Linked DNA regions of Caenorhabditis elegans. The protein of the gene in region 1 interacts with the protein of each later gene in a biochemical or structural test. Each region holds a gene or a part of one and is shown on either strand. Other genes may lie near its edges. The genes, in order: him-8 and chk-2.

What was found.
Region 2: of the proteins of him-8 (region 1) and chk-2, one has a biochemical effect on the other in vitro, tested with the Caenorhabditis elegans proteins (one study listed by BioGRID).

What each region holds. Positions count from the first base shown.
Region 1 is NC_003282.8:10,559,893-10,564,561, forward strand, and holds him-8 (C2H2-type domain-containing protein), read left to right. Parts: upstream 1-2,012; 5' UTR 2,013-2,021; coding exon 2,022-2,114; intron 2,115-2,173; coding exon 2,174-2,505; intron 2,506-2,956; coding exon 2,957-3,269; intron 3,270-3,318; coding exon 3,319-3,512; intron 3,513-3,560; coding exon 3,561-3,613; intron 3,614-3,822; coding exon 3,823-3,923; 3' UTR 3,924-4,082; downstream 4,083-4,669. Other genes in the region: zim-3 (C2H2-type domain-containing protein), read left to right, coding at 1-131, 218-469, 550-743, 792-853, 899-1,034, 1,075-1,093.
Region 2 is NC_003283.11:19,912,711-19,917,659, reverse strand, and holds the start of chk-2 (Serine/threonine-protein kinase chk-2), read left to right. Parts: upstream 1-1,636; 5' UTR 1,637-1,686; coding exon 1,687-1,727; intron 1,728-1,780; coding exon 1,781-1,917; intron 1,918-1,973; coding exon 1,974-2,104; intron 2,105-2,147; coding exon 2,148-2,286; intron 2,287-2,392; coding exon 2,393-2,529; intron 2,530-2,878; coding exon 2,879-2,986; intron 2,987-3,337; coding exon 3,338-3,457; intron 3,458-3,510; coding exon 3,511-3,567; intron 3,568-3,616; coding exon 3,617-3,703; intron 3,704-3,780; coding exon 3,781-3,905; intron 3,906-4,949. Other genes in the region: Y60A3A.19 (Protein YIPF), read right to left, coding at 757-907, 977-1,091. UniProt on the Caenorhabditis elegans protein: Serine/threonine-protein kinase which is required for checkpoint-mediated cell cycle arrest, activation of DNA repair and apoptosis in response to the presence of DNA double-strand breaks.

The DNA.
Region 1 (4,669 bases):
TTTGCACTGAGCCCAGGAGTTCTATTTCTGAGGACGTGAAGCCGGTTTTGAAAGCTACGGATTCAGAAAGAACAGTTTCGATTGGGAATCATATCGTTGATCATCATCCAGTCATAGAACTGTCAACTGAGGTAGGATTGAAGAGATTTCCTTTATTTCTAATTTGTAAATTGTCGCAACATGATGAGATTTTCGTTTTTAATTGAATATTTTGCAGCATAATACCATGGGAGAGTTTCAATATGATTTCGATGATGAGGATACTGTGCTGATCGGAAATTATGAAGAAGTTGGAACAGAAATTGATGAGGCAGAACAGCAGAATGAGGAAAACAGTGAAGATGATGAAGAGGATGAGAGCCCGATTCCTTCGACGAAAAAAGTTTCGTTTGCTGTTCCAGTTGTCCAACGTCTTAACAAGCGAAACGAGCAAATGAATAAAAATCATATTATTAAATGTAATTTCGAAGTAAGTTCCGATCTGAGCCATTTCTTAGGGAGGATGTTCAGGAAATATGACAACATTTAAAAAAAAGAAGCTATTTTCAGGGTTGTAAGCAAATTCTCTCGTGGAAACTTCGATACGGCAAACAACGACTTCTGGATCATGCAATGACTCATGAAAATGAAAAGTGTCTCGTTTGTCGCACATGTGAATACTCTTGCAGTACACATCCCCAAATGAAGTATCACTATCAAAAAATGCATCCAGAAGTGAGGTGTGATGGGTTTAATATTCAGAAGTAAGCCGTCAATTGTTCAATAAATTATATAAAACACGATTATTTCAGAGTGTTCAATATCGAATTTGATGAAGTGGCGATTTTCGATCTTTTCCAAAAGTGCTTCGGAGGTATTAGACAGATATGAAATATTGATATTCAATGTGTAATTACAGCACATTCTTCCATCATCGGAAATATTGGGAAACCGCGGAGATATAAAAAATGTAAAAACTCGCTGAAAAATACTCCAGAAGTCGACAATGAGAATGTAGATAAAGACTCTCCAGGACCATCACACGATCTTTTCTAGTAGGTTTTTCCATATACTTTATTTTATTCTGAAGTTTAGTTTTCGCAGAATTCGCTGATCGTCTTTCGCTACGACTCTGCACAATGTGTTATTTGTCAACTCATGTAACATTTGCAATGTTTTTTAGTAATAGTTTCATTGTTTTGTTTTGTTTTTTGTTTGTTATTGTCGAGATAAACTTATAAAATATGTTTTTCATTAAAAAATAACTTGTTTTGTAAATTTTTTGTCCGCGAGTTTTTCATCTATAATACCTTTTTTGACTATTAAATTCAGTTCTGTATATATGTGATATCACTAAATTTTAATATACCTTCTTAAAGGCACACGGAGTTATTCAGATGGGCATCGAGGCGCAAAAAGTTTATGGTACTTTTCTTTAACTTTTTCGGCTGCTTCATTCCTTTTTTAAAAACATTACTTCGTTTTTTGCTAATTTTCTTATTAACTTTGCATTTTTCTGTTAAATTTTTTTAATATCCTTCTTCGTGTAAAACATGCATTTTTGATCATAAATGTTAATTGTACTATGGAAAAAACTGATCTAAAACAATTTTAAACAGGAAAATGAGTAGAAAACGACAAACTTCGCTAAAAACTAAGTGATTTTTTCTTGAAAATACAAGAAAAGCGTAGCAGCAAAAAATTGAAAAAAAACCTAGGTTTAAACCTATTTACCATACACTTTTTGTGCGGCGAGACCCATCGGAAAAAATACGAGAAGGCTCGTCAATATCTTGTTAAAATATGAAAATTTTCTAATTTCAAAGATGCATGCCAGATTATTATGAAATAACAGATGACATGCATGTAAATGGGTCTTCTGGCACGATATGGTGCAGCAACAGCAGAATGAGGGAAAACTAGGCCCTCGTGTAAAACGAGATTATTTGTTTTTAATTTGAATATTTAATGCTGTGATTCCCTTTATTTTTGTTGCTCGACCCTATTTAAATGTTTAATAATTATTTTTTCAGATACGATAAATGAATGGAAATTCTTTAAATTCGTTTGTTAATATCAGAATCTATGGAAAAACTCTGGAAAACTTGAAACATTATGGATTGATTGAATATTTGGTAAGCCTATCTTTTTTTCATTGCTGAGTATTCGTTTTTGAAACTATTACGATTTACAGAATGAATTCGCCGGTGGCAGCTCATTTGTTTCCCTCACCGAGAGCACGTCGATATCTTCAATCAACACTGCTACAGTCGATACTCCTCGTTTCTCCACTCCAATCGTTCCAAACGTAGGATTATATCAAAAATTCACACTGAATCTTTCGGAAAAAATATCCGAAATTGGACCGAACGACGAGAACGAAGATTTGAAGGAAAGCTATGATCAAGAACCAGAAGAAGAACTAAATAGTTCACATGAAAGTAATAATAGTGTGGAAAAAGTTATGGATATGATAATCGAAGATGTTGTTTCCAATCATACGACGAATATTGCAGATGGAGACGAGTACGTTTTTTTTTAATACAAAATTTTTTTTTCAATAATTTAAACTCTTTTAGCAGTGAATCTTAAATTACGCTGAATATTTTCTCGTAGTCCAAATTAAAAATTCATTCACTTGTTTTTTCAAAGCTTCGAACCTGTTTTAGACATTACCCATATGCAAAATTTTGTAATTTTTACCCTAGAGATCGATTTTAGTTTAATTCAAAAAAGTGTGCGCCTTTAAAAAGTACTGTGGTTCCCAGATTTTTTTTGTTGAATCATGTATATTAAAATACATCAAGTTTTGAAGAAACGGAGGAAAAACTAGGAAAAATTAATGCGGATTCTGCAAAAACAAAGTTAGTAACTACAGTACTCCTTAAAGGTGCATTCTTTTGAACCTGAAAAAAAACGGTTGCCGAGAGACCGGGTACCGTTAGTCACAAGAATTTAAATTTCGTTTTTTTTTCAGTATTAATTCGCCGATTGTATCATCTGGACAGTCGGAGTTTCTCCAAGACGGTGTAGACAACGATGGAAATATTGATGATTATGAAGAGTATCAGTCATTACCACCGAATGATGATGTTATTATGAATGAAACAGAATTGATGGATGTTGATCGAACCACAGTGATGACTCCATTACGAAGTCCTACATTTTTCGATTATCACAACGAATCCGGTGATGAAGATCAGTTGAATGAGAATGAAATGAAATCTCCAGACAGCAAAAACGACGAGATTAATAAAGATGAAATCCACAATATTCAATGTCATTTCCCGGTGAGTTAAATTTTCTGTTTGTTTTTTTCCATTACCTGGATTGTTGCAGAACTGCAATCGAGCAATTGCGTGGAAGAGGAAATATGGAAAACTTCGTCTTATCGATCACGCATTGGTCCATTGCGATAAAAACTTTCTGAAATGCAAAAAATGCAAGCACACTTGTCATACAATCCGTCAAATGCGTTATCACTATCGCATTTTTCACTCAACATCAAAAATGGAAGGCTTCGGAGTGTCTGGGTAAACTTTCTGAAATTAAAATATTTCAACAAATTGCAAATTTTTCAGCTTGCCAACCAAAAATAAAGGATTCCAAAAAATTATGAATGCTTGTTTCGCAGGTAAGTATCAAGTTAAAAATTATAGTTTTACATCCATATGGTTTTTGATTTTTTAGATTTGCTCTAATTTTTAAATTTTTAAAATCTTCTTGATAAAAATCGACTCAAAAAATTCATTTACTGTAGGCCAAATTGTTCAATTTAATTTCAAACATGGATTGGAAACTGAAAATTCTGTTTCATAATTCAGTTGAAAGTCAATTGTTCAGATCAATTGGTCGAGATGAACAAACGAAAAAATCCTCCAAAATCTCAAAATGGCAGCCGCCGTAGCCGGGTCAAGTCAAAGTCCAAGAGAAGTGGCATCTAGAACTTTGCAAGTTCACAGCCGTTTTATTTTGTAAATATCGGCATATTGCATACTTCATACATTATACATGCCTACAGCACGAATCTCGAAATTTTAATATAATTCGGTTTATGTCATATTTCTACAAAGTTTGTGTCATTAATAAAATCTTATTGATAATCAGCTCGAGATTAGTAAAACTTTGGCTCAGAAAATGGAAATTTAAGATCTGGCGCTTCAAATTGTTTAAAATGATATAAATCTCTACAATCAGGTAATACAAGGGTTAATGAATAAAATTCTTTCAATGCTGTTTGATGTTCTCACAGATTCCTCATCGTACTTTTACGACAAATTCGGCGCCTAAAGCGTCACGATACCCATAAAAAGACACACCGGACCTATAAAAACTTCTTCCTCCACCACTTCTTTTTTTCGATACGAGACGCGCTCATAAAAACGGATATTCATCATTATATACACAGAGATGAAGCAATTTTTTACCTTCTCTTTTTTTCCATTATTTACCGGTCTTATTTTTTAATGGAAAAGTTCCCCCTCTTCGGTCAACTATTTCGATAATCGCTTCATTTATTATAATTGGAGTGAGCGTAGTGAGGCTGTTGCGGTTCAATTATTATGAGCGACCGGCGTGAAAATGGATAGGAATTTATGATGAGTTTCATGTCGGCTCTTTGCAAAATTTGCGTTGCATTCTATGAAATTGCGAATTGGAATTGGAAACAATTTTAAATGACCTTTTGATG
Region 2 (4,949 bases), on another chromosome or scaffold:
TTTGAACTTTTTTCGAAATTTTTTGAAAAATATCGAATTTTCCCAGTTTTAGATCAAAATTTACGGTTTTAAACTAGAAAATTTGAATTTCCCATTCAATTTCACCCCCTGACCTCAAATTTCAGCTCATTAGTGCAATTTCCCGTCAAATCAGGTGTCAAGTCCGCAAACACCACGCTACAGTAACCCAAGACACCAGAATTGACGCGAAATTGCACTAAATCTCTGAAAAATGAGGCTTAGGGGTTTTTTGGCACGGAGAATCTGAAAATCGACTCGAAAATTGAAAAATTCAGAGTTGAAGTCTAGTTTTTTTCAAATTTTCAGAAAAATCTCGAATTTTCCTAGTTTTAGGTCGAAATTTGCGGTTTAAAACTAAAAAATTGGAATTCCCCATGCAATTTCACCCCCTAGCCCCAATTTTCAGCGTTTTAGTGCAAAATTCCGTCAAATCAGGTGTCAAGTCCGCAAACACCACGCTACAGTAACCCAAAACACCAGATTTGACGCAAAATTGCACTAAAACGCTGAAAAATGGGGCTTGGGGGTAGATTTCCGCGGGAAAGTTGAATTTTTAGGTTTTAAACTTGAAAAATTAACGGAAAACCAAAAAAAGTTAGGATTTTTGCAATTTTTCGGGAATTTTGTCGAAAAAAGGGGGTTTTGCCCATTTTTCTTCAAATTTTTCGACTTCTTCTCCGTTTTCTTTCGAATTTCTTCGATTGTAGCCAATTTTCCATCATTTTTGGCGCTTACAGCAGTGGAATCTGGTCACTGTCCTCCTCATTGACCTCCAGAAGCCACCCAAATCCACTATTCTCCATAAATTTTCCAGCGGCTCCAGCATTAGTACGACGATAAGCCTGAGCTGAAATTTGTCCAGTCGGGCTTGAAATTGAGCCGGAATCTGCAAAAAAAAATCGATTTTTTACGGAAATTTCTAGTTTTTTGGCCTAAAAATTCAGATTTTTCGTACTTGGCGCGTTAGATGACTGGTCCGGGTGCTCAAATTGCTCGAAATTCGACGAGTAAAAGCCATTTAAGTCGATAGAGACCTCCGGTTGCTTGACTCCAGTGCCCGGGTAGTCCATTTTCACCAAATTCTGAAAAAAAAACGGGGGTTTTAGGTGGTTTTCAGCGATTTTTTCGAGAAAAATATGAAGAAAATTCAAATTTTCGACAAATTTCATGCAAAAAATCCATTTTAAACAGGTTTTTACGTTAAAAACGTTTTAAAACCCGGAAAAACTGAATAAAATCCAAAAATTCATTGAAAAATTACGGTAGTTCTTAAAGGCGCAGTACTCGTTATCGATGGGTCTCGCCGCGATTTTAATGTTTTTTTGTGATTTTTTAATTTTTACTCAATTTTTGCAAGCTTTGGTTGTTTTTTTCACGATTTTCAAAAAACTTTACAAAAAATTTGAAAAAAAAATCGACTTTCCTATTGATTTTGAGTCTAAAACCAATGAAAAAGTCAATAAATTCGTTAAAAAAACTACGGTAGTTTTTAAAGGCGCAGTACTCGTTATCGATGGGTTTCGCCGCGTCTCGCCGCGATTTTCGTATTTTCGTATTTTATTTAGGATTTAGTTGTTTTTAATCGAATTTTCGCGCAATTTTCTTCGTTTTTTTCGCAATTTTCTCCATTTTTTCGCAATTTTCTCCATTTTTTCAGCGATTTCCATGGTTCGCGGGACAAAAAGACGTCGGAGCTCGGCGGAAAAGTAAAAAATCACCAAAATTTGCCCCAAAAATCGCAAAAAATTCAATTTTTTAGGCCAATCGTGGTGGTTCCGGTCACCCGAGACGACACGATGCCCGTCGACGAGGATCTTGTCGTCGGAGAATCACAGTGTGCTGCTTCAAAACCCTTCGCGAAGCTTGTCGGCGTCCGCCGAGGCATTTCTTCCATCGGTTTGTCGATTTTCCCGCAATTTTCACGAAATTCCGGCTAAAAATCGATTTTCCAGACTTGGCAGACGATCATTTCGTGTGCGGACGCGGCTCGGATGATGCTCCGACGAATTTCAACTTTTCTCAAGTCGCCAAAGACGTCGGGCTCTACAGATTTATCTCGAAAATTCAATTTTCCATTGATAGAGTAGTTTTCTACTGAAAAATCGCCAAAAAAATCAATATTTCAGGACACAGAAACGCGTAGAATCTATCTACACGATCACTCACGCAACGGGACCCTCGTAAATCAGGAAATGATCGGAAAAGGGCTGTCCAGAGAGCTAATGAACGGAGATTTGATCTCTATTGGGATTCCAGCGCTGATCAGTGCGTTTTTGACGATTTTAAAGCTTTAGGGTAAAATTGCCCAAAAAAACGGGTTTTTCCGCCAAAATCCGTCGATTTTTCCCAAAAAAACCCCGAAAATTTGCAGTTTTCGTGTACGAAAGCGCCGACGCCGACCATCATCCGGAGGAACTGACGAAAAAATACCACGTGACGAGCCATTCGCTGGGAAAAGGCGGTTTTGGCAAAGTTTTGCTCGGATACAAGAAATCCGATCGATCAGTGGTACGGGCGGCGTGGGAAAATGCCGAAAATTGGAGAAAAATCGATAAATTTCCAGAAAAATCGATAAAATCTCCGAAAATTGTGAATTTTCGCCAGTTTTGGTGCATATTCAGCCATTTTTTTTGCTGATTTTCACCTAAAAACCGCCAAAATTTACCGGAAACTTGTGAAAATTCAAATTTTCCTCTGAAAAATGCGATTTTTAACTGGAAAAACACATTTATCGATGAAAATTTGCCGAAAACCTTGAAATTTTCACGGAAAATCGATAAAAACCCTCAATTTTTGTGGGAAAAATCGATTTTCAGCCATTTTTTCCCGGAAAAATCATCAATTTTTCATGTTTCAGGTGGCTATTAAACAGCTCAACACACAATTTTCGACAAGATGCAGCCGAGCAATCGCTAAAACTCGAGATATTCGAAATGAGGTTGAAGTTATGAAGAAGCTCAGCCATGTTAGTAATACACGAAAATTGCTGAAAAATCGATTTTTACACGGAAAATTGCTGAAAAATCGAAATTTTCCGCATTTTTCGCTGAAAATTCACGAAATTCGATCAAAAAAGCATAATTTTAAGCGAAAATTGAAGTAATTTTGGTCAAAAATGCTCAAAAATGAGAATTTTCCAGTTTTTGGGCGCTGCTAACACTACAAACTACACATTTTTGGGCGCTCCTAATTCAATTTCAATGGTTTTTGGCCTATTTTCGAGCCATTTTTCACTAAAATTATCGATAAAAAGTGATTTTTCGCGTTAAAAATGCTCAAAAATGCCATTTTAACCCTAAAAATTCTAATTTTTCAGCCAAATATCGTTGCAATTTACGATTGGATCACCGTCGCCAAGTACTCATATATGGTTATCGAATATGTCGGCGGAGGCGAATTTTTCTCAAAAGTCGTCGATTCCAAGTACAATCGAATGGTAAATTGGCCGAAAAAATCCCGAAAATTTCCCTAATTTTTCCATTTTTTCAGGGTCTCGGTGAATCGCTCGGAAAATATTTCGCTTTTCAGCTAATCGACGCGATTTTGGTAATTTTTAGGTAATTTTTCGTCGCTAAAACCGCTCGTTTTTTTTCAGTATCTTCACTCTGTTGGAATCTGTCATCGTGACATTAAACCCGAAAATATTCTGTGCTCGGATAAAGCGGAGCGGTGCATTTTAAAGGTGAAAATTGGCAATTTCTTGGCTCAAAAAAGCTGAATTTTAGTCAATTTTCACCCGAAAAACCTCCAAATTTGCAGCTAACCGACTTTGGAATGGCGAAAAATTCGGTGAATCGAATGAAAACTCGCTGTGGAACGCCGTCTTATAATGCGCCGGAAATTGTGGCGAATGAGGGTGTTGAGTACACGCCAAAAGTCGATATGTTAGTAGAATCATCGGCAAAAATGACTTAAAAATTCGGAAATTTGAGCGAAAATCACTCTAAAATTGTGAAAATCGATAATAAATTCGAATTTTTCGTGGAAAAATCACTAAAATCGATGGAAAATGAAGTTTCTCCACAAATTTTGGCAGAAAAATTGAAATTTTGAGCCAAAAACTACGAAAATTAAAGAAATTTTAGCTTTTATGCTGAAAATCGGATAAAAATCCCATTTTTCAAGAGATTACAGCCGAAAAAAATCAATATTTCCCCGAATTTTGTCAGTAAAAATGGAAAAATTGGAAAAAAACTATCAAAAAAACCGGAAATTTGGTCAGAATTTATTAAAAATTCATGTTTTTCACAATTTTTGACTAGAAATTGCCCAGAAAATCTCAGTTTTCGGTGGTTTTTCACCGAAAAATCGAGTTTTTCGATGTTTTCCCTTCAAAAATTGGAAATTTGGCAAAAAAATTGAGATTTTTCATAATTTTTCACGAGAAAATGCCAAAAAATCTAATTTTCAGCCACAATAATCGAAAAAAAAAAGATTTCCGACGATTTTAGAGTCAATTACACATAATTCCCCGGTTTTTTGAATTTTTTTCGGCGAAAAACTCTAATTTTCAGCTAAAAATCGATAATTTTTGGTGAAAATGAATCAAAAATGGAGATTTTCGTGAAAAATCCGATTAAAAACGTGTTTTTTTCAAATTTTTCATCGAAAATTCGGAAATTTGCTCAAAATTTGGCTAAAATTCAGTAAAAAAACCGTTTTTTCCTGGAAAAATGAGCCGAAAATCAATAATTTCAGTGGAAATTTCAGAAATTTGTGTTTTTTTTAATCAATTTTCAGTCGAAAAATGGATATTTCCCGATATTTTGCCACTGAAAGCGGAAAAATTGGAAAAATCTCTCAAAAAACCCGGGATTTTGGTCAGAATTTATTAAAAAATTCAGGTTTTTCATAATTTTTGACTAGAAATTGTCCAGAAAATCTTAAATTTCGACGGTTCTTCGCCGAAAAATCGAGTTTTTCGGTGT